Drosophila melanogaster: one gene and its partners. The protein of the gene in region 3 interacts with the protein of the main gene of each other region in a pairwise test. Each region holds a gene or a part of one and is shown on either strand. Other genes may lie near its edges.

The links.
Region 1: the proteins of retn (region 3) and grau interact in a two-hybrid assay, tested with the Drosophila melanogaster proteins (one large-scale study listed by BioGRID).
Region 2: the proteins of retn (region 3) and CG33557 interact in a two-hybrid assay, tested with the Drosophila melanogaster proteins (one large-scale study listed by BioGRID).

The regions. Positions count from the first base shown.
Region 1 is NT_033778.4:21,006,566-21,015,107, forward strand, and holds grau (grauzone), read right to left. Parts: upstream 5,357-8,542; 5' UTR 5,281-5,356; coding exon 5,158-5,280; intron 5,081-5,157; coding exon 4,314-5,080; intron 4,252-4,313; coding exon 4,042-4,251; intron 3,980-4,041; coding exon 3,604-3,979; intron 3,541-3,603; coding exon 3,304-3,540; 3' UTR 3,199-3,303; downstream 1-3,198. Other genes in the region: CG30291 (uncharacterized protein), read right to left, coding at 1,237-1,742, 1,797-2,639, 2,691-2,865, 2,928-2,933; CG9346 (uncharacterized protein), read left to right, coding at 5,481-5,537, 5,597-5,713, 5,770-6,056, 6,114-6,532, 6,593-6,774, 6,837-6,880, 6,948-7,280, 7,348-7,590 and 3 more.
Region 2 is NC_004354.4:10,004,994-10,012,372, reverse strand, and holds CG33557 (uncharacterized protein), read right to left. Parts: upstream 3,164-7,379; 5' UTR 3,139-3,163; coding exon 2,912-3,138; intron 2,803-2,911; coding exon 2,672-2,802; intron 2,615-2,671; coding exon 2,520-2,614; 3' UTR 2,324-2,519; downstream 1-2,323. Other genes in the region: Dna2 (DNA replication helicase/nuclease 2), read right to left, coding at 1-102, 162-1,199, 1,257-1,802.
Region 3 is NT_033778.4:23,628,712-23,637,596, reverse strand, and holds the start of retn (retained), read right to left. Parts: upstream 4,988-8,885; 5' UTR 4,420-4,987; coding exon 4,333-4,419; intron 1-4,332. UniProt on the Drosophila melanogaster protein: Transcription factor which is a downstream target of gcm and repo. Directly or indirectly activates the transcription of locos and pros, which are essential for the development of some glial cells.

The DNA of each region.
Region 1 (8,542 bases), 2.6 Mb from region 3:
AATCATTTACAAAGTACATCAGATAAAGAGAAGCATGTATACATAAATAAATTCAGACATATACATAGTAGCACCTAAGCGAGGCGAGGCAAGAGCAAGAATTAAATTAAACCGTATAAATAATAAATATACATATATAAATTATATGAAGCATATATATTAGGCTAAGCAACTATACAATAATGGCAGACAGACCACAACCACAAGCAACTTTCGAACAAATCTTATGCTTATTTAACATTTACCATACGAGTTATGAACGCAACGCAGCAGCAACCACAAATACAAATACGCGTGCGTTTATGTATAATCAAAACAATCCAACATTATGTATATCCGTACATACGATATCTATGTAAAGCTCGAGAGAGAGACGCCCAAGTTGTAGATGAGATGATTGATTTTAATCGCAAACAAATCGCATCACAAACGGAGACGAAAGATAGATAGAAAACAAAAGTACACGACGCTTTGACCACACAAAGTTGTAACCATATCATGAGGCCTCTTTCCCCGTATAATTAATTGTATTTTCGATAGTGCTTGTTATTTTCTATTTAGTTAACGAATTGATTATACTTACGAAGCCTTTCTGCTGATTACCGCCAGCCACACTTTTGTTAGATTAGTGCCTAAGTCTAGTTGATATCCCAATGTATACCCCGACATTTTGTGGCTTTTTACACCCAAACCTTGTATAGCTACTCTATAGCATTTCCGATTTAATTGAAGCTCCCCCATTCTACCATTCTAGATGTACATCTACATACATATGTGTACATCCGGTTTAATCAATATATCTCGATGAATTTCCTTATATTCAAGACACAGGCCCCCAAAACATTTAAGTTAATCACAGCGTTGTTCTTGTTTTACACATTATTAAAATTCAGCAACATAAGAATTTTACATTTAAGTGAAAGTTTAAAACGTTAACTGTGTAAGCATACTTTTATGAACAAAACAAAAGCAACAAAAAAAAAAGTAAGAAAAGAAAAGAAAAGAGAACGAAAAATGAAATCAACAAACTTCACTAAAATTAGGTTTGTATTCTGGATACAAAAAAAAAAAAAGAGAGAAGCAAAATGGCAATTAAAAGAAAGAACACAATATAAATAAAATTTGTATATTTAATAAAAATAGCAAAATAAAAATAAACTTCTTTTAAAAAATTTACAAAACCATCTTTGTCCATTTACCAGTTTATTTTTAACAAACAGCCATAAAAAAGTTACATTAGTTAACACCCCCCATCAAGTTAACCACCCGGTTCTTGTACCGCTTGGATATATCCTTCTCGATGTGAGACTGCAGCGTGCGAGTCTGAGCAATCAGCTCCTCCAGCACGGGATTCAGGTCCTGCCGCTGCTCCCGCAGCTCGATGGTCAACTGCTTGAGCGCCTCTCGCGTGGCGCGCAGCTTCTCCACGGCCTTTGTCATTTGCTGCAGCTTGGTGGCCAGCATATTGGCATACTTTGGGGAGTGCTTCAGCTGGAAGAGGTGCTGCGTCTGCTTGTCGGATGTCTGCTGGATTATTTTCTCCACGGACACGAGTATCTTCCAGATGCTCTCACCGTCGTGGGTGGCAATGTTGTCCATCAGCGAGAACATGATGTCGCTGGAGGATTCAAGCTGCTTGAGCTCGTAGATACGCATGCGTAGAAAGGATTCCAGTTCGTAGATTTCGTCCAGGAAGCGATCGCGATAGTTGGGTGAGTCCAGCAAAGTGTAGGCCTGATCGCCTGGAACAACAAACCATTAACCATCATAAAATCGAGTATAATAAAAGAACTTACCCTTGGCAGTGCCGCCATCCATGCCGGTGCCCTCCACCACGATGCCGTACTCCTCGACGGGAATGTCAAAATTGATTTCCACCGCATCGGTGGGTGCACTCTCAATGCCCCAGTCGATGTTGCCGCCGTCGCTTTCCGGCAAATCCCCGCTGCCGAAGTCCCCGTAGTCGATAATCTCAGCCGAAACGGTCGACGAAGTTCCGCCGTTGTCATCCGTTCCGAAGTCAATCTCGGCCACAGCATTGTCATCCTTGCTGGCGTTGCCCTCGCTGAGATTTAGCCGAATGGGCGGCTCCTCGACGGCCAAGGGTGCTTCCTTGTGGATGTACTGGTACACGGTGGTGTTGCCAAACTCCACCAGGTGGTTCAGGATAGGCAGCACTTGCTTGTTGCCGCTGACCTCCGCATACAGGTCGATGCCCGGCTGAATATTGGCAATGCCCACCAGCGACTTATCGTATAGTTCCGGTAGACCAGATAGAACCTGGACGAACTCGGCATGCAGATTGTCGCCCTTGACGCCCAGTTGCTCCAGCAAAGCCGAGTGGTCGGCCAGGATTTGGCTCTCGGGCTTGTTCAGATCGTGCGCTCGCTTCTGGGTCTCGTCCGCCTGCTGCTCCAGCCTGGCCATCTGCTTTCGCACTCCGGGAATCTCGTAGTTCACATTGCGCACGAAAATCTGAGCCGTTTCGGCCAGGTAGGTGGCATTCTTTTCGTACAGGCGGCTAATCTCTTGCCAGTCCTTCATGCGCTGGCTGCCGTAGGTGCCGAACACGCTCTTGGTGTCCTTCTCCGTCTGCTTGAGGATCTCAATGATCTCCTTCACATGGTAGTAGTTGATATCTGCAAGTGGGACACATTAGTGGGATGGCATTCTGGGCACTGGGCACCTACTTGTCCGGGCCAACAGCTTGATCAGCTGCTCATTGGAGGGCATGTCCTGCAGGGCGTTGCTAATCTTCCTGTGGATCTCCCTAAGCTCCTGCTGCACATTCTTGGGCACAATTCTGCGGCTGATCAGCCAGTCCTGCAGCTTCAGCGTGTGTATGTCGATGGGGATCTCGGACTCCTGCTCAAATAAAATGCTGATGAGCGAAATATTCCCAAAGATTTCGTTAATAAAGTGCTTACATTCATTTTAATTAAATGTTTGTCCACGCAGACTGTTTTCTATTATTTTAGCAGCTGGCAGTGTGACCAGTCTACTGTAATAAACAAAGCGGATACTTCAACCATCATACCTTTTTTTTCCAATTGAAAAATTCAAGACATTCACACTGTAAATTTTTTAAATTCAAAAACAATATTTCTGAATGTAGCTAAATGAAACATTTAAATTCAAAAAACTTAATTAAAATGTAAATAGCCAAAAATCCCACCAATATGACAACAAACCGCTCGTACTTTCAAATAATTCCTATTATACATATATTTTGTTTTCAAACAAAGGTCAATCAAAAACTAAGCAATGGTTTCCGCAAATCGATTTCCTTAAGCATTTCCGGGCCTAACCCGAATAGTCATTGGCAATAGCTGCGACATCGGCATCGTCCCGGAACATTTGCGCCACTTGGGCGCTGGGCAGGACCTTCTGTGAGCTACCGGTCTTCGTCTTTCGCCAGATGTCCCACTCCACCGGATGCATTTTCTTCTTGTGGGAGTGCATGTTGGCGTTGGAGTTGAAGGTGCGGGGACAGAAGGGACACTTGTAGAGTGGCTCGCCAGTGTGCTGCGCCATATGCTCCTGCAAACATCAATCGCTTTAATACAACACATAAATAAATAAGGGTAATATGTATTATCCAACCTTAAGGCTGATGTCCTTCTTGAAGGTTTTGCCACACTGCTCGCAGGTGTAGATCACATTCGAGTGGGAGTAGCGCTTATGACCAATCAGCGCGCGGGAGTTCTTGCAGCTCTTGCCACACTCTGAGCAGATAAACAGCTTGCCCTCGTCGTTGTGGCGCCTCAAATGCTGCTTAAGATTGTCCTCGTCCTTCAGCCAGCTCTCGCAGTCAGGACGCGGGCACTTGATCCGTGGTCCGCTCTCCTCGAAGTGCAGGCGAACGTGCTTTTCGAAGACAGCCTTGTCCTTGATCTTCTTGCCGCACACATGGCAGATATTGGCCGCCTTGCGGTGCTGCATGCTGATATGGACCTGCATGTGGTACTCCGTGGCAAAACTGTGGTGTGAAAGGAGAACGATAAGCATTGGAAACACTGCCGTTTAGCTGGCGAGGCTCACGCATTGTGTTTGGGGCACTGCGGGCAGATGAACTTGCGCTCATTTACGGGCACATGGGAGCCCTTGTGCAGTTCGAGCAGGTTGCGTCGCGAGAAGCGTTTGCCGCAGTCCTCGCACTGGAAGTCGCACTCCTCGTCTGGAACATGGTGGACCAGCCAGTGGGCACGCAATACGCTGGAATTGGCGAACACCTTTCCGCAGTCCTTGCATCTGTCGGAAAGGAAAGCTAATTATCAAATCGCTTCGAATTGGTTTGGGTAAGAGAGACCCACTTGATGTACTCGGGATTCTCATGCCTCCTCGCATGCTCCTGGATGAGGCAGCGCTTGTTGAGCTTGCGTCCGCAGCACTTGATGTAGGGCCGCTCGTCCGGATGCTTGTCCTTGAAGTGCTCGCGGATGCCGTCGAAGTCCTCGGCCAAGAATATGCACAGCTCGCAGCCCATGACTATGTAGCGCTTGATCAGTTCCTCGTCCTCTTTGCAAAACGGCGGCAGGCGTTCCATCTTGAATATCCTCTTGGGCGGTCCCCGCTTGACCACCATCTTCTCCTTCCCCTTTCTGCCCACCGACACCGTTCCTCTTTTCGTTTTAGCCGGCTTGGCCACGTCCCGTTTACGTTTGCGTCCACTCCGGGTCACGATCAGGTCGTCGGTGTCATCATCCTCGTCGTCCTCGTAGTCCTCATCCTGTTCATTGTTGGCATCCTCAAAGAGGAGTTCCATGTCGGGTGACTGTCGCTCTGTTTTGATGCCCACCTTGCTGTCTTCCGGGGACATGGGTTGGCTAAGGTCTAACTCGTCCAGGGGATTCACATTTATCTGCGCACCGACATCGTTGTCGACGGCAAGGACGTCGGCCGGCATGAGCACCTCCTCCGGCCAGGAGGTGTTCACCATCTCCGGATCCTGCTTGAACTTGGAGGTGGTGGCGTATATCACCTGGGCCTCCTGTATGGACACGTAGAACTGATGGAACTCGGACACCTGCGTCCAGCAGACGTTGCAAATAACCTTGGATATCTCGTCGTTGGGCAGTACCTGTACGCGTTCCGGAGACGAGATGGTGGTAAAAAAAGATTCCCAGGCACAAAAGTGGGTGGAGGGCAGCAGCTTACCTCGAACCAGAAATGTTGGCGCAGCACCTCCGCCACCTTGCTCTCGCCCGAGTCCACATCGAAGATCTGTAGACACATCTGGGCGCCGCTCACTCCGCGTAAACAGAGGCGGCAGATATCCATTTCGCATTTATTTGATAAAACTATAATAAAAAGTAGTCATTTACATAGCTCTGTCGATAACTCCCATCGCAACTATCGGCTGCATCGTGATTTGTTCGCTGTTCATTCTGTGCACTGGTTGTACGACGTCGGTCACACTGGCAAATTGTTGGTTTTCCTATTTTCGTATTTGCTGATAATGTGCATATTGTGTGGAAAAGATGAGTAAACAAGGGAATAAAAGCAAGGATTCGGCTGCCGCATCCGCCACTTTAAAAGTAAAGGTGTCCTGTGTAGCCGGAAAAACGAGCCTAACATTTTTCGGTCTTGTTTTCAGCGGATAAGCGAAAAGAAGTTGGAGGCCTTCACGGTGGGCACCTTCTCCAAACGACAATTGTCCAAAAAAGAGCTCGAGGACCAGAAAAAAAAGGAGGATGCAGCTGCTGCGGCACATGTAGGCGCCTCTAGCAAATCCCTCCTCCACGCATTATAATCCAATACGATTTTTAGGCCTTCAAAGAGTTCGTAGAGACTTTCCAAGATGCACCCACCCCCTCCTCGAAAGTTTGGGTCAAAGCCGGCACCTATGATGCAGGATCCCGGCGGGAGGACAAGTCGGAGAAGGGCAAGCTATACAAGCCGGTCTCCAAGCTGATGGAAAAGAGCTCCTCGGACAAGGTCGAGGATTACGCCAAGACCCTGGCCTCGGATCTCAAAAAGGACTCGGGTCCATTGAAGAAGAAAAACCAGGAGAAGAAAAAGAGCAACTTGGAGCTGTTCAAGGAGGAATTGAGACAGTAGGCCCACTTGGTTGTGCATGTGTGTATTCCATACTAATTGTTTCATGCCCACAGGATTCAAGAGGAGCGTGAGGAGCGCCACAAGTACAAGCACATGGCCTCAAGCCATTCCGCACCAGCACAGCAACCGGCTGCATCAGCTGCTCCTGTGCCCAGCAGCAGTGTCTCCACCACCTCCCAGAACTCAAGCAGCTCAAAGGAGTCTGGTTCGTTTGACACGGGCGATCCAAATACCACAAACCTGTACCTGGGCAACCTGAACCCCAAGATATCCGAGCAGCAGCTTATGGAAATCTTTGGGCGATACGGTCCCTTGGCCAGTATCAAGATCATGTGGCCCCGCTCCGAAGAGGAGAAGCAAAGGGGACGCAATTGCGGCTTTGTGGCCTACATGAGCCGCAAGGATGCGGAAAGGGCCCTAAAGACACTGAACGGGCGCTACATCATGGGCTACGAGATGCGTCTAGGATGGGGTAATCTATAGATCTTATATTGAAGTTCTTATTCCTCATACATCTTACTTAATATTTCAGGAAAGACTGTGCCCATAATGAATACGCCCATTTTTACACCGCAAGCATTGCTTGAGATGACCCTGCCTCCGCCTCCTTCAGGATTGCCCTTCAATGCCCAACCTCCACCCAGTGAAGCTGATGTGCTGCCCAAGAAAAACTACAAGGAGTTCAACCAAGAGGACAAAGAGAATATGGAGCGGGTAAGTGAATAATCACCTGCTAGCGTCTAAAGAAATAAAAATGAAAATGTTCAATTTTGTAGATACTTGCCAAATGCGTCGTTAAAGTCCATATACCCACAGAGAAGTATGAATTGCACCAAGGACATTCACTTAACAAGAACTCACGTTACTGTGCTTTTCTTTTTTTCCAGGGCTGTTCTTAATGTTATCCATCGGATGATCGAGTTTGTAATACGCGAGGGACCGATGTTTGAGGCTTTGATCATGATTCGGGAAATGGAGAATCCGCTCTTTGCGTTCCTCTTCGACAACGAGAGTCCTGCCCACATCTACTACCGATGGAAGCTGTTCTCTTTGCTACAGGGCGATACGCCCAATGAATGGCGGGAGGAGGAATTCCGTATGTTTAAAAACGGACCGGTTTGGAAGCCCCCGATTGCCAACTTCTACACTCAAGGCATGCCAGATGAGCTGGTTGTTGATCCCGATGCTCCTGTGGTGCACAAAGGAGCCTTGTCCAATGCGTACGTTTAGCATAGATAATCCTCGAAACATAAATGTTTACTGTACTGTAAATGTATACTGAAATAGGCAACGCAACCGACTCGAGGATTTGATTAGGCACTTAACTCCTGAACGCGCCCGCATTGGAGATGCCATGATCTTCTGCATTGAGCACGCAGATGCGGCTGATGAAATCTGCGAGTGCATCGCCGAGTCTCTGTCAAATATCAATACATTGGCTTCAAAGAAGATTGCTCGACTTTATCTGATCTCAGATATACTGCACAACTGCACTGTTAAAGTTGCGAATGCTTCGTTCTTCCGTAAATCGTATGTATATATGTTTATCAAAGCATACACATTGAAATATCCCCTATTATTTAGTGTGGAAAAACAATTGTTGGACATCTTTGATAACCTGCATAACTACTACTTGAACATCGAGAGTAGATTGAAAGCTGAGGGCTTTAAATCCAGAGTCTGCAATGTTATCCGCACATGGGAGGAATGGACCATTTATCCCAAGGATTTTATGGCCCAGCTGACGGCCAAATTCTTGGGCAAACCTGTTAGTTAATGAAATTCATTTCAAATTGTGCATGTAGTCTAATGGAATCTTGTGTTTAGTACGTCAAGCCAGTCAATAACTCACCTCAAGCCGAGGAAACGCGATTTGATGAGGCTCTGGACGAAGATATCGACGGTGCGCCCCTTTCCGGAGAGGAAAAGGACGACGAGGATCTAGACGGAGTGCCACTAGATGGAGCTGCTTTGCTTAAGAGCGCCTTGAAGCGAGCCATACCTGATGCAGATGCTGGTACTCCAAAGCGTGACACACCTAAGAAAGATGAATACCTCGATGAAATCGATGGCATACCATGTAAGCATAAGAAAGTGATTTAAACCTTCTTACTACTAAGTAAATAATCCTTAATTCCAGTGGATGATGATCTCGACGGTGTACCGTTGGAAAAAGAAACCAAATCTACGGCTAAGTTGCCTGGCTTCATACCCTCAAAGTGGGAGACAGTTGATCCCCAGCAAGTAGAAGCGCAGGCGATTACCACCAGCAAATGGGACACTCTCGATCCGCCAGATCCACCGAAGTTCTTTAGCTCGGACGACGACAGTGGAGAAGACAATCCGCAAAAGTACACCGACGAGATGCGTCAGAAGTTAAGAGACATTGAGTCGAAAGCAATTCAGTACCAGGACGAACTGGAGTCCGGAAAGCGCCGCCTGGAACCAGGTTGGAGTGTCCCCGAACAAGTGGAACAATTCC
Region 2 (7,379 bases), on a different chromosome or scaffold from region 3:
CAGCCGAAGATCCAAACGACGAGCTTCTATAGATACAATAAAACCAGCAGCAACGGCCAAACGGGATGTGGAACTGATTACAACATATTCGCCCAAGTCGAACTGAAAGAAAGAGTTGAGATAAGAATATAGTGATCTGTGGATTTTGTGGCAAAACATACCCCACTGAGGCTGAGATCTCGACTGGGATCTGCCTCTTCACCGAGCTCCAAGGTCTGGCGATAGCGTCCCTCTTCTAATATCACTTCTTGACCCTTCACTAGCTTCAAATGTCGAATGGCTATGCCTTCTTTTTCTCTCTCCGCAGGGTCCTTCGTCCAAAAAGACCTCACATGCGAGGACTGCCGATTGTGTTGCTCTTCTAGAGCCAGCAAACCACACCAATGCTGCACGTAGGCATGGTCTGCCTCACTTAGATGCTCCAATAGCTGTGGCATGAGTTTCTTGAGGGGATGTGAGTCGCTTAGCTGTAAACTTGAATCCTTCTGGGCGAAACTGGAGCAAATGGTATTGTAGGCACAATTGCCGCAGGCGCTGTGATGGTAAACGGGTTCGGGTAGCGGCAGTTGCTCCAGTGGATCCTCCTTGCTAGCCGGAATGGCTACTTCACGTGTTAGCCAGTAGGCCAGATCATTTCTTAACATAAGGAGATCCCTCTGTTCGTTTCTCCCGCTAGCAACTTCTCGTAGGAGTCCCTCTTTGAGGTACAGAAGCAATCCCGATTGAGTATCCCTGCCCTGGGCAGAGTGCATCAGTTGGTAGAGCAGCAATTGGCCCTTGTGTTCCATGGAGAAGCTGGCTCGGCCGGTCTTCAGTTCCAGTGGTATGATCTCCTCCCTCTGCCGTTGATTTTTTACCTTTACGGAGACATCCACCTTACCCTTGAGTCCCAGTTGTGGAACCCAGAGGTTCTCCTCTATATCGCATATCTCGTGGATTTGACCTCTATAGACTTCGGGCAGCAAAACACTTGGCGGTTCACCCTTCACATATTGGGCCACAAAACTGACAATGGGATCAATGAATTTCATCAGATGATCCTCCATTTCCACCTGGATGAGATTGCTGGCATAGAGTAAATGAGCCAAAGAAGAGCTGGCCAGCATCTCCTGGAGGGCAGATTGAATGTGTTTTTTATCGAAGAGCTTCTGGCGTAGAACCTTTTGCAGCAATTCGTGCACCAGAGTGCCAATGACCATCTGAAATGGAATACATTCTGGATAAATTGGGTTATGCTGATATCGAGATGTACTCACAACAGAGTTTCCCGAGTCCAGACCGCGAAATCGTTCCTGCAGAACAGATTTCCGTTTGCAAAACAGGGAACCGGTGACTGTGGTGCCGGAAATGAGGAAATCCGGATGGGACACGCAGTAGCCCTGCTCCTTATCGACCACATAGCATCCTGCAGACGGATCCCACTTGCCCAACAGGGAGACAGTGTCTCCAACTTGCATTGGCATGCAATTCCACGGCGGTAGCAGTTGGCAATCAGCTGTCTCCGGATCCCCGCCAGAAATCCTCTTAACATGCACTTTAAGGCCTTTTCTATTGGGGAGCTGCTCCAGCCGCACCACTTCGCAACGCTGCCACTTGGTGAGCTCCAATCGATGATTGGATATAGAATCCATAGCTGCAATCAGCGCCAAATCGAAGTCATCATTGTCACCCCAATCAATGTTCTCCACTTCGTCTGACGAAAAATCCAGTTGCTCTTTGAATTTCTTTTGTGGATTGGATGACGTCACGTCAGTGTTATCATTCTCCAAAATATTAGGCGTCAGCACGCGTTTGGTGGCCATCGAAGGGGCTATTTGTTATTGTTAAATCAAATTATTTACTTTATTTCAGTTATGCGTACAAATGATTTGGCGGGAACAGAGTGACTGTTTTCTGCGTGTGGTAAAATACTTATGAACACACCGGCGCCTCGTTGCTATTTAGCTAGCTTGTAGCTATTTAAAAATTACCGCGTGTTTTAAACTAAAATCTCCTTCTATCACTAACAGTTGTTAGAAAATGAAGTAATGTGTATCAAACAATTATTTAATATATAAAATTGCTTAAGCTGCCTTCTGCTTACTTTTTGTTTTCTTTTTATATGTATATATTTGATACTTCAGATCTAGCTACTAATTTTAGTCATCTTAACGAAGTACAGGTGGCGCAGTTGTGGAAAACATCCGCACAGATGGCGACAATTTAGCGACATATATTAAATTGCTCGTGTTGATTTTGAATTCTTATCACCACCAATTTTTAAATAGATTTCAATATTATAGTTAATTTAATTTAATTTTAATTTATTTTTATCCTACACAAGAGATCGAAATGTTGAAGAACTACAACAGCTTAGTAAAGCAGTTGTGTTGTGGCAAGCAGTTCACATTCGGTGGAAGTTCGTTCCAGAAAATTACCATAGGTGGCGCTTCAATTGGGCGCCCAATTCGATTTCCTAAATGCAACAGATACGACGAATTATATAAATATTCTTAGAAATATCCAATAAATAATTAATTTCATTTGGTTTTCAGGCAAAAGGTGCAGATACTGATACGTCTAGTTATTCCTTCGCTCTCGTATTTGTGCAGCAAACATGGCTGGCATTCAGTGCCTTAAAAATTTAAACAAATTAGTATACTTTTATATGAATAACGTTTTTTAAGCAAACCTGTTTCTAGGGTGCTACTTAGGTGCGTTATATAGCTGCTGGCCAGGCGGATGATCTCGATCTTTGAAAGCTTGCGATTCATGGGCTCCGTGGGTATTAAATTTCTTAATGCCTCGTAGGCCGAATTAACACTGATTTTGTTTAGGAAAAAAAGAAAATATTAAATGGTTAATTGTTAATAAATACACTTTCAACTAGGGCTATGTTTTGCTTATTAACATTTATATACTTTTTACTCACTTAAATGTCCGATAGCGCTCTCTAGCATTGATCTTCTGGCGCGGCGGTCGCCTCCTGTGATTTCCCTGATTCTCCTGGCCACCTGGATTGGCCTCCTGGCCAATCTGGGAGTCCTCCGAGTCGGCGGCTGCTCCACTTCCGCTGGCACTGCCACTACTATTGCTATCCTGGGCAAATACCGCCATCAAGTAGTTGGAAAACGACGACGAGGACGATGAGACCGCCATCCGTTAGCAGCGGCGATTGGCGAGCAACTGAACGGACTCTATGGCCGAGCCCATGACTATATCCACTTCTATATGCCCCGGCTGCATATTTGGGATCTGCTAAATGAATTAAGTCATCGGCTAGTGACGACAAATTGTGCGTGAAGATGGGAAACAATAACGAGTGCGTTTTCTTCGCTAAATGTGTGCACTTGTCAAAACAAAAAGTGAAGAATGCCGGGCACTTGTGCGATACTAATTGTGCATCAAGTGGCTGGCGTACCAAGGATAAGTAACATCTATATATCCATCCCCATTTGTCCATCGGCGATTTGTTGGGCCAATTTGTTTGTTTGCTTGTGGAAAACGGAAGTGGCACTTAGACCCTGACCTTCCCCTCCCCCGCTACTTTTATTTTATTTTATTTTTGTTTTTGGTTTTTCTGGACCGCACACATGCCACGCATGCGTTACAGTAAGTCATTCAGTTAGTCAGTCAGTCAGTCAGTCAGTCAGTCATTCAGTCACTTATTCATTTGCTCACTCAAGCAACGCAGTTTTGTATGGAATGTGCCGAGATGGATAATCCAGATATTTATAAACCAGATTCGAGAAAATCGAGAGGGTGTGCAACGAAGCAACTCACTGCGAAATTGTACAAATATTTGCAAACGTTTCTTAATTGCCCAAAAACATTTCTCACATTAATTTTTAATTTTAAAATACTTGGCCATCATAGTGTAGTATAATTAATTGAACGTAAAATATGGATGGCTTGCCAACGATATTATTAAATTTATTCACCTAATCAAATGCATTCTTTGCGTATTTTCAAACAAAAAGTTCAAGAAATCGGATTTCGTACAAAACATTGAAAATAAACAAATAAATAAACAAATATGGAATGCTATACCTTTCTAAGCTCGTAATTAAATTCCCATGCAAACTGTAATATATTTAGTATTTTGGGCACAGCTTAAAAAATATTTGTCCAAATAGCGAATGTCATACCTCGCCGAAATCGTAACTAAATTTGCAATCGATCTGTGTTCAAAAATGAAAACTTTATTTTTTGGCAATTTTTTGCAAGTTTTGATGATGTTACCCCTTACAAAAAATGCAAAAATTGACCAAAAAATTAATTTTTCTAAATTCTTCAAAAACTGATAGGGATCATAAGCACTGGGAATTAGCTGCTCAAAACAGTTGTTTTTACATCTATATGAGCATTTTTAGCCAAGTTATGATGAAAATTCCGTTTGTAATTATCAACTTCTTGGCAAAATCCGTTTTTCCGAATTTTGGTCTTCAAATAATCAGTTTTTTTGCTACAACCTTAAAAATAAGTGTCTGAATATGGAATGTCATATACCGTTGTGCTCGTATTTAAATTCCCCATCGAACTGTATTCACAAATGGAAATTCAATTTTTTTCAGATTTTTTGCAAATTTTGATGATGTTACCCCTTACAAAAAGTGCGAAAATTTACCCAAAAATTAATTTTCCTAAATCCGTCAAAAAGGGATAGGAATGTTTAGCATTGGTAATAAGCTGCTCAAAACAGTTATTCTTTTATCTCTACGATCATTTTTAGCCAAGTTATGAAGAAAATCCGCTTCGCAAACATCGAATTTTAGGAATTGTCCAATTTCCGTCATCAAATAATCAGTTTTTCTGCAACAACTTTAAAAATAATTGTGTGAATATGGAATGCCATATCTCATTCTGCTCGTATTTAAATTCCCAATCAAACTGTGTTCAAAAATAAAAATTCAATTTTTTTCCGATTTTTTGCAAATTTTGACGATTATAAAAAATGAGAAAATATGCCCAAAAATTAATTTTCCTAAATTCTTCAAAAATTGATAGGGATCGTTAGCACTGGTAATTGCTGCTCAAAACAGTTATTCTTTTATCTATATGACTATTTTCAGCCAAGTTATGACGAAAATTCCGTTTGTAAATATTAACTTTTTGGCAAAATCCGTTTTTCCGAATTTCGTTCATTCAAATAATCAGTTTTTTTGCCACAACTTTAAAAATAATTGTCTGAATATGGAATGCCATACACCGTTGTGATCGTATTTAAATTCCCAATCGAACTGTATCCACAAATAAAAATTCTATTTTTTGGCCATTTTTTACAAATTTTGATGAAAATTAACTCGAAACTCAATTTCCCTAAATCCGCCAAAAAAGTGGTAGGAATGGCTAGCCTTGATAATTACCCGTTCAAATTGGCAATTCCTTTAGTTTTAACCCACTTTAACTCATTCTATGCCGACCATTGCAAATATATTTTAGAATACTTCAGTCTATAAATGAACATTTTCCCCTTTTTAAAAGATGGAATACACAGAATATGAAATATTTATAATCATTTTATTTTATTTTATACACATTTTTCGAAAGTTTCACTTAGCTAGCTAGAAAAAAATCATAGTTAGAAAAACACAATTCGCTTAGGATTATGGGGAGTTACAAACAAATCCAGGGGACACAGGGAAGTCGAACAAGAACGGTTCTATATATATAATAGGCATATCGAATCGGTTTTATATATTGAGTATGCTTCAGTGAATGTGCGTGTTTGTGTATGGGTGTTTTTGGGGCTCTTTGACCAACAACAGCAAATAAAAAAAAACATTAAGCTCGGCTACATTTCATCTAATAGAAACTTGACGTGTCTTCTGCATCCACTTAGCTTTCTTCTTCATCATCATCATCATCATCATTATCTTCACATTCATCTTCTTCGTTTCGTTTTCGTTTAAAATAATTAAAAATAATAGTAAATAAAACACCACAGTCATGATTTTTTTTAATAGAACACAAAATATACACAAAAAGGAGAGAAGAGGTCAATTACAAATTAGGGAAATTGGGTTTAGGAAAAGTGGTGGGGGAAAATTTGCAAATAGCAAAATATTTACAAAAGCCGTTGAAAATTTTAAAGATATGGATAGACGGGTCAGGGAAAATAGAGATATAGTACTAGGGCAGGAATAATTGTATCAGGCGTTTCTTCTTCTAAACATATTCATATGAATGTTGTTTCCATACTTTCGATTCGATTTTGTTTCTTTTATTGATACATATAAATAAAATTCTTTGATTCGTGTTTTTTTTTCTGCCAATTTTGCTTATGGTTTTATAATTTTTTTTTTGTGTTTAGTTTGTTTTAACTAATTTCGTTTATGTTATAAAAAAATTTGCTATGAATTTAAAAAAAAGATGTTGACATTGCCGGGAAATTTCTTTGATCGAACAAAATTCTCTCCGTGTGAATGAGTGGCCGTGTTTGTGTGTGTGTGTGTGTGTGTGGGGTTGTTGTGAGTGGGTGTGTGGGGCATTGGAAAGGGGGTTATTTCTGGGGTGAGACAGAGGGAGATAGAGACAGACTTTCGGGGCGTTTGGGGCTAGCGAGTTAGAGAGAATGATCTGCTGCATTTGACTCTGTACAGGTTGGTGACTTGACTAATTCGGGCGAGGGCGTGGCCGGTGCTGACCCTTGACCTTAGATCAGCGCCGTTATCAGCTTGGCCTTGAAGTTCACGAACTTCTCGCTGGTGGCCGCAACGCGCTGCAAACGGGTAGGTAACATAGATTTCGTTAGATTAATAGCACATAAAACCCTAGTTACTGTTACTCACCAGAATCAAATCCTGGACGAGATTGGCCAGACCGCGATTGGCCAGCACCACGAGGCGCGTGACTGGGCCGGGAATGCCCTCGGTGTAGCCATCGGCGTTGCGAGTGCTATCGCCATCGGCGTCACCATCGCCGCCCAAACTGCCGCTGCTACTGCTGCTGCCGGCACTGCCGCCCACCGAGTTGGCCGCCTCATCGCCCTGCTGGGTCTGAACACTGCCCGAAAAGAGCTGTTTGTTTGTTCGTGGAAGTAAAGTATACCAATTAGATGTCTGGATAACGGTTGAAAGTTCAGCCAACGGGTGTGGTACTTACCCTCACCACATCCAGCAGGAAGTTGCCGGAGCCGCCGGCTCCCAGAGCATTGCCACTGGGCGAACCTCCTGCACCGCCGCTTGAGCCGCCGGCGAGACCCGCACCGCCAAAGCTGAGGAACCTTTTGAACAGATTACTATTGGTCAGGCCATTCCAATTCAAAGCGTATGTTGTTGATCGTTATTGATATTAGTATGTTGTTGAATTTCGTTGTTGAGGTAATTCCATTCGAATTTGTTGTTGGTTGTTCAGTGTGATGCAAATGTTGTTGAGTAGTAAATTTATATTTATAAGTT
Region 3 (8,885 bases):
GTATTAGCTAATTTAAATTACACTCTTGCCAAAAACCAATAAACGAATCATAATGGATCCAAACATGGCTCAAACTACGCCCCTGCTGTCTGGCTGGCCGGCCAACTGCGAGAGTCGCACTTCCCGAAGCTCCAGCGCTTGCGACCCGACTCCTTGTGCCCATCCGGCTGCGGGGTGGATTCACTGCGTCTAGCTTCGATTGCAGGCGGCAATAATTAAAAACTGCATTATTTTATTGCCTTGGCCAGCCCGCAAGTCCGCCTGCCTTGGTCTCTTGGCCTGGTCGCTGGGTCTCGTGGTCTCCTGGTCTCTGGAGGTATTGTTGGCCGTCTGGACGGCAAAAGAGCCCACTTTATTGGATGCGAGTGGCGCAGGGCTTGTTACAGTCGCCTGCCCGAAATATATCTGTGTTTTATGACTGGGTGTCGCCACATGAGGAAAGTTCCTAAGACCGCACTTTCCACCATTGTTAATCAGGAAATGTTGCCAGCAAGCACACACAAATAGCTACTACACTACTTGGCTAATATGGCAGAAGCTCTTTTCAGATACTTATTGCCTAAATGCTTAATACCCCAATTTTAATGGGTGTACTTTGCTTAATTCCCCAAAAAAAAAAAACACATCGCTTACGAATCGATAATAATTACGTATGAATTTCACTTGCAATTGCTTGGCTTCTTTATACGAAAATTGTGGCAGGGCTAGTCAATTGTGGCAGGTGCAAAGTGAGGAAAACAGGCAAACATCGAACATCAAACAAGGATGTGTTTTTCAGTGCCAAATGCCAAATTAAGATTTGCTGTTTGCCAGCTCGATTATTCAATTTGTTGGCGCTCACGCGATTTTCTCGTTGGCCAATTGGCACGCCCATTTCTGTTTGTATTCGGCGAAAGGGAGGGCGATATGTGCGGTGCAAGCGAGAGGGCAGGGTTTTATTAGCGCGATGATAAATACACTTTTTATCCAGGCCCCCGAGCACACACACACACACGCACACACACACACCAACAGAGAGGAATACACACAGATACTCGGTTCGTGCCCTCGCAAATTCGCATTTTGTTTTGCGATTCGCGATCGTTTTTCGTGGCGCTTTTCGCAATCGGCAGCTGTACTGGAAAAATCCAATTAACAGTTTTATTAGCTATGGTTGGCAAAATAATTCATAAATTCATTAAAAACAATACGAAAAGCGCAAACTGTAATACTGCCAATAATAATCATATTTTTTACGAGCTCTTTCTGCTTTTACGGCCCTGTTTTCATTGGCGTTTTGTGCCGTTCTGACATTTGTCGCCATGCACTTTTGAGTGCCGCCAACTGCATTAGTAGTTAATTAAATTTTTTCCCCCCAATATACATACATATATCCAAATGACAAATCCCCTCCTCCATTTGGCCAGTTTCAAGTTCGCGCCCCCTTGGCGCGCAAACTAAAAGCAAAACAAATTTCGCTTGTCATTGCGGTGGAAAGCGCCACCGAAAATCAACCCATTCCATTCCATTTCATTCCATGCCATGCCATCCTATCCCCCAAAGGCCCCACCAGATACTTAATCAAATATTTCCCCTGACTTCTGGTTATGCAAGAAGAAGAGGATGGAGGGGGGGGGGGGAGAAGAGGAGCGTAGCCCCCACAAAGAATTTAATAAAAATCGTTGGCTGTCAGCGTACAAGAAGCCAAACAAATTATAACAGGTGCCGCTTCCGACCGACCCAAATGATTTCTGCTTCCAGTGGCGCAGGGAAAAGGGGACAGGCACCCCAATGCGGTGTAAGCCAACCCCATCAGCCAGTTAGCCCGCCAGTTAGCCAAGTGTGAAACAGTTAACTCGTTTCGGTAGTAAGCGTAAATGTAATGCAATATTCATTTGATACAAATCATAGGGTTCTTACTGTACTTATTTATTTGTAAATGCCAGACCTTTGAGCTGCGCTTGAGCTGCATTCCCATGGAACTAAGATGCAATTAAGTTTACAACTCTTCCAAAATTTCTGGCTTGGCGCACTGAAGCGGTCATAAATAAATGTGGAAAACGACGCTGGCCGAATCGGAATCGGAGCCGGAGTGTGAATCAGTGCAAACACCAGCAGCGGCACCAGTTAACCACCACTGAGATTTTTTTTTGGGGGGATTCCCCCAACCCAAGGCCGGTATGATTTAATGTGGGAACTGCGCCTGGAGCACGTGCAGCGCTCGGAGTGAATCCACCAGCTGCTCCGGCGCTGGAGGAGGAATCGGAAGCCAATTGTCTCGAGTCATGTTCGCCGGCTTGATTTAATTTAAAAACGATTCAAAAATTACAGACAACAATTCGGCAATAATTTTAAACTCTGCGTTTAACCCATGTAATTAAAGTGCTGCTCGGATGACGATACTGGGCATTGGGCATTTGGGCATTTGGGCATTGGACCATATACCATGGACCATTGGGCACGACTTCTTCGCTGGGACTGGGTTTCATTCGAGAATTTATGACTTTTTGACAGCCCACATTATTGTTTAATCGTGACTTTCGGGCTAAAATTGAAAATGCGAGCGGCGAGTGGCGGTGGCAGGATTTGATTTGAATAGAACTGCGGATCGGATGTGCGAATGACACCAGCATGTCGGTCCGGATCGCAGTGGGGTTAATTAGACAGCACAGCACCCACATGCGGACCCTCAATTGAGAGACCCGCAATTAACACCAGTCCAGGCCCACAAGGAGCACACATCGCATCGGCATCGATCCGGGGGGATGACGAATAGGCCGGCCTGGAGAGCCGAGATTCAGTCGCTGTTTGCACAGCCCATTGCGTCTCCGCCGCCTTCGCTTCTTGGCCAAAAGCGAGGCTATTAAAAATTATTATGTAAATAGCCAGACCGACCGGCCGGCCAGTGAGTGAGTGTATAAAGTCTGGCTCATTGTTGATCGAGCCGGCAATGTCTATTAACAATAATAAAAATGAAAGGAAAACAAAGGGGCAGGAAAAGACTAACAAGAGTTTTATTGAATTGAAGAAGTCGCGATGAGATGGAGATGGAGATGGAGATGAAGCTGCATACCTGAAAGCGAATGGCCGAAAGGCCTGAAAGGCAATAAAACCCATTTAATATTCATTTAAGGTACTAACAAATAATGCAAATATTTGAACAATCTATTTACATATGAACGCCATCAAAGAGCTTGGATTGAAAGATCTCTTTCAATCGGTGGAAATTGTGAACGATCTCGGGATGTCGGTACGCCGATCGCTCGGTTTTGTGGGACCAAAACAGATGAATCTATTTGTGTTTATGAGTGTGCCATGCACTTAGCTCGATCAACGTGTGAGTGTATATCGCGCTGGACGTGAGTGTGTCGCTACAACACAATCGTCTTGTATGCGACCATTTAGCATGTCACCTTTTAACGGCTCTCCGGCAAACTGAAACGCCAAAAAGCCAAAAGAGCCAGCTCCCTCCGTTTTGAATCTCCCATTCCCCGATTGAATAAACATATTTTTTTAACATTATAATTACGTTTTGAATCATCTGCAAACAATGTGAGTCGGTTGCAGGAATTGCCTTTGCCTTTTCGAGCACGACAGCAGAAAACAAAGCTGAAGTATAAGTTGCTACCCAAACAAGAGATCATTATGGCCAAAAAGCGATCGCTTTTGGGCATTTGGGTAAGGATTTCCTCTAAGTGCCGACGGCAAATGGGTATTTCATTTTTTTTAGACTGAATAGGGTATCTTGGCCCATCAGTGTCAAGACTTAATACTATTTTTCGCGTGGCAAATGGATATTGATGCATTAGTAACTCAAATTACCAGACGGTCGCGAAAAAAACAAAACAGATTCTATACATACATATATGATGGATAGATGAAAGGTGGGTTATCTTATTAATTTTTGTGCTTGACAAATTTCATTTGGTAAAAATAATAATAATACTTCGAAATGCTTCTGAGAATTATTATCGGAAAATGAATGAGTTTCCATCAGTAGCTGATTGTTAGCAATAACCATGAATTCCGTATATTTCTTCATTATTTGTATTTCAATGCTACATGTTTGTTTACATAATTCATTTGTATATTTCATATCAGTGTTTTACGATGTGATAATAAAGAGGTAATTTAGCGGCACTTACTGACATACTTTTCACCTGGATACTTCTACTGAGAATGATTATGCCAATTAAGTTTATTACTTGAATGTATGACATTTATTTTAATGCCAAGCTGATTAGTGCTTGTCACATCAATTTTTCAAAGAAGATAATAATCCTTTATAATAATAATAACTTCGGGCGTTACTGTAGAGGTGCATATTGGGTGTTACAAAGTTCCTTTTCTTACCAAATCGTCCCCCAGATCGGAATCGCGTTCAATATTGCTGGTTGAACGACCGCTACAGTCCATAGTAGGGTGCACTCGCAGTTGCATTGAGGCGAATTGGATCACCCTGCTCGAATGTCACGAATATAACGAATATGACGAATATAACGAATGTTGCGGTTGATCAAAGACCTGCGCAGACCTTTGATACTTTTGATGTTATTTCCTTAGCTGAAGTTTAATTGGCACAGCACACTTTTGTTGTGTTGTTTTTAGCTTCTATATGGCATTACTTTGCGGCCAGCATTTGATTTCTTTTTTTTTTTTGTGAGCGCGAACCGTTACTTGTGATCGTCGATCCTCTTTGCACTTTATTCTGGTTGGAAAACAGAAACAGGAGAGTGCGCTTAAGAACCGTTCACTTGCATTTATGCCTTTCTGTTTGTTTGCAATTGCTTGCGGTTGTTTAGTGCGATTTGGTTCCTAGTGACTTCTATGCTTCTCACTTTAATTATGGATCAAGAGTTTTACTGCTCACACGCTCACACACACAGAACACGATTGTTATTAATCCACATTGCGACGTTATCTAATTACAGTGATGTGTCCATTTGAAAAGCCGTTATCCGACCGCACGGAACTCGTCTCGTTCACTCGAAAGTTCAAATCGGTCTGAGTAGCGAACAAGAAACTGGCGAATAAGACACCGACACCATCTCACAGCAATAGCAACAAGTTGCTGCAACATTCCCAAATGTTGCCGGAACGGCCGTTCAAATCGAACGAATGGAATTGCACGTTCCAATTCACACTCGTTCCCCGAACTCGTTCGCAGCCAATCGGATGGCCGTTCCATCGTTTGTTAGGGGAGGGGGTGGGGGAGGTGGTCAATTAAATTAAAATTGTAATCGCAATCTATGCAATGCCCGATTCGTGTGTGTGTGAGAGTGTGCGCAATACGCCGCCTTCTTATTCGCTCATTCCGATACACTCACACACACACGAACACCTGAGGCAGAGGTGTGCTCGTGTATCTGTATCCGCAGAATGTGGGCAGAAAACGCAGATACACTGCCTAGCACGTTTGTTAACGCAATTTAACAGGTTTATGTGCTTTTGTTTTCGAATAAAATGTATATTTTTAGTAAGTTACTTTAATAATGATGTATTACTAATAATATGTGCAGTTGTTTACCCGCGTTTTAGGAAGTAAATAAGACTTTTGGATACTAAATAAATGACAACCTTTTTGTTTCTAGCTTTTGTAGCTTAGTGTTTAGTTTTGCGCACTTGTATTGGCTCACTGGCGTATCTTTCAATCGAGTTTTATGCGCGGTTCAATTGAAGAGCGCCGCCCTTTTCATTCGCCGAATCGTCCTGTTGATTTTCCCAATCGAATGGGAGGGGCCAAGTTTGTGCCCTTTTAAATTTGTTGCCAATAAGTACACAAAAACGGGCTAAAAACAATTGCCAAGTAGGGGGTGAAGGTAGGCGTTGGGTGGGCTGGGAATGGATGGGAAAGGAGGGGGAAAGGGAAAGGCAAACGGTAGGTTGATTAATGATTTGCGAGATAAATTGCACTTGTAATGGCCAAGGCGGTAGATAGATGGATGGATAGATTGCTGCTGCCACCCATCCAACAGACAGCCACATCCACATTCGCACCCAGCCACCCATCCAGATAGTAAATAATTTCCGTTTCTCGATTTTCACTAATTTGAAATTGATGAAAGGCAGCGCCGCCGAAGAGCAGCGGCAGTGGATCCAGACACTGAAAGAAAATCGGATGTACTTTTATGCATGCAAACAAATACGCTACGGTACTCAGTTAAATGATGCAAATTAAAATTCATGACTTTTATTCTTCAAATTATTTATTTGTGTGTAAAGTAAGTTATATTTTGAACTGATTTTCCTGTGTGCAGCTGAGTATATCAATTTTGGCCGACTTGTCTGTGAAACAAACAAGCCGCGAACGCTGCGGCATGTATCTGTATCTGCATCTGTTAATGTATATGTATCTGTATCTGGGTGTCTGTAGGGGAGGCTACCCTACGACTACGAATACACCCCCTGGCAGCCAGCCCAGGAGGAGAAGAGCAACGCCAATGACGAGGCGACGTCCGACCCACCGACTTGACTGATGATGAAGTGAGAAAGTAATTAAATACAATTTTAAATGTGACTAATGAGACGACGTCAAATTCGTGGGGCAAAATGGCAGGAGGGTGGAGAGGGGGGGGGGGTGGTGGTGTTTCTGGGCGCGATCTAAGGGAAGTTGCAGTCAAATGAATTCATCGGGAATATTTAGGAATTCGAGGGAAATATAAAATCGATCTTAGAAGCTCCTGTTTCGAGGGAAAACACTCCTGTTTGGAGCAAATTTTTTCATTCTGAACTTTCCATTTTTCGCCGCCAACTGAGCCCCATTTGATTTTCTAACAACGTACTCACCTGTAAGTGAAATTTGTGTTTAATTCATGGATACACATATTGGCAAATATTGGACAGGGGAACATCGTTTATTTGTTAACACGTCCATTTCCTGCATTTTGTGTTTTAGCCGAAAAAAAAGACGTTAGCCGGCGGAGGGCGGGCAGAGAAATGGGAACCCGAACACAAAATTCGAAATACGTACTGGCAACAATTTCAAAATAAATAAATGAGATAGAGAAACCGCCGCGCGCAGCCCAAAAGTAGCAACAACCACACAAAGCCGACAGATACATATATGGATATTAGTTGAAGTTGTTATTGTCCAACACATCCGTCGCCGCCCGAAGCTTTTAGGCCTCATTAGTTGATGAGTATTAAGTGATTTGGGAATTACACATTTGACATAAATATATGTATATGTGTATGTATGCCCCCACCTTCCGCTCCTTTTTTACTTTTTATCTGCTCGCTGTGTGAACTCCATAGAAAACCCAGCCACGATAGCCGGGGCAACTCGATACGCTGACTAAGTGTTGCGGCTGGATCAATGGCTATGGAATGGATAACTATGTGACTTGGTCACCTGCGATATCGAACTCAAGAGATGTAAACCGATGCTAGTATATATGATGTGATATACCAATCCATTCCTAATCTGAAAAACTTATGTTTAGCAACCAGTATAACAGCACACGGACAATTAATGGCTAATTAATTGAGTGCATAAATTAATTCCCCTGCGAATGTAGATCAGATCCAGTTTGAGCTGCCTGGCCACCCCGTGCTCATATAAAAAATGCGAATATAATTACATATAATTAAGCGGCAATTTACAGTTTCAACACAGTTTGGCGGGCGAGAGGGGTCAGCAGATCGATTAATTAAACGCCATTTAGGCGATCATTAATCCGGGGAATGCAATTTGTCAGTCCGCCAGCGGATCGATGTGTGAGAAAGCGATTTCCAGCTGTTGAACCAACAATCTCTACCTGTTCGCCATCGCCTTCCTAGCCCTTGGGCTGCAGACCCGAGACCCCAGAGCCAGGGCTAGAAACAGAGATAGAGTCCGGGGTTAAAGCCAAATTGATTGACCAGATCGACCACATCCGACCGAATATGAATGAATGCGAACGACGACGACGACGACGACGGCGGTGATAATTGATGATTACTTAGTTGTTGGTGGTATATGGATGGATTCGATCGCACACTCTTTTGCCCGGCCATTTGGCTGAGACCTTTGGACCAGGTCGGGCACCACTAATGGCTTGGCCAAAACTGCGAGTGGAAATCCACAAAGCAGACAGTTAGAAGCGATCGCAGTGAGCGAAAACGAGACCTCGGATTCATTCATAAACTGCAGCTAACTGTCGGGAGCTTGTCAAGAGGGGCAGAGTGTCTCCATTATGGCTGTGGCAGCATCAGCATCAGCATCAGCATCACCATCACCATCACCGGCATCATTAACTCAACTCAAGTCAACTCGGCTCGGTCGCATAGTCGTCATATTTATTTAGATGATCTCTTTACCCATTTGGGGGCACGATTTTTAATGAAGTCGAAGTCGGATTGGGAGTCAGTCGGAGGAGCCTGGGAGCGGGAGTGCTCGAAAATAGAATATCAATTTGGGCAGAAAGCATAACGGATGCCGCTGTCAATATTTTGACAGTTCTCGCTGCCTAACAGGAACCAGCAAACAACACCCAACTACACACTGCTATATAGTATGGTATGTGCCCGACTTATTCCCGGAATGGTTACATCAAAACTTTAATTGAATTTCGCTCCGCAGCGACTGCAACTCATCAAGATCTGCGGCGGGAAATGGGAACGAATAAATAAATGGAATTCTGTGCGCGAGCGATGGTGAAAAATGATTAATATGCGCTAATGTTTTATAACTCTGCCCTTTAATATTCGTCCTGCCCCGCGAGTGGGGAAACAATAAACCCAACTGAAGGCGATGACGCTGCCTCCAGATCTCGCAATCCAGAATTCAGAATCCAGAATACAGAATCGGCATCCAACATCGAGATTCACCTCAGGCCCGCCAACCTCAGACATGGCATTAAAAATGCCAAAAGCGATAAAAGAATGAGCCATATTGCCTTTTGTCTGCCACATGGACACACGATACG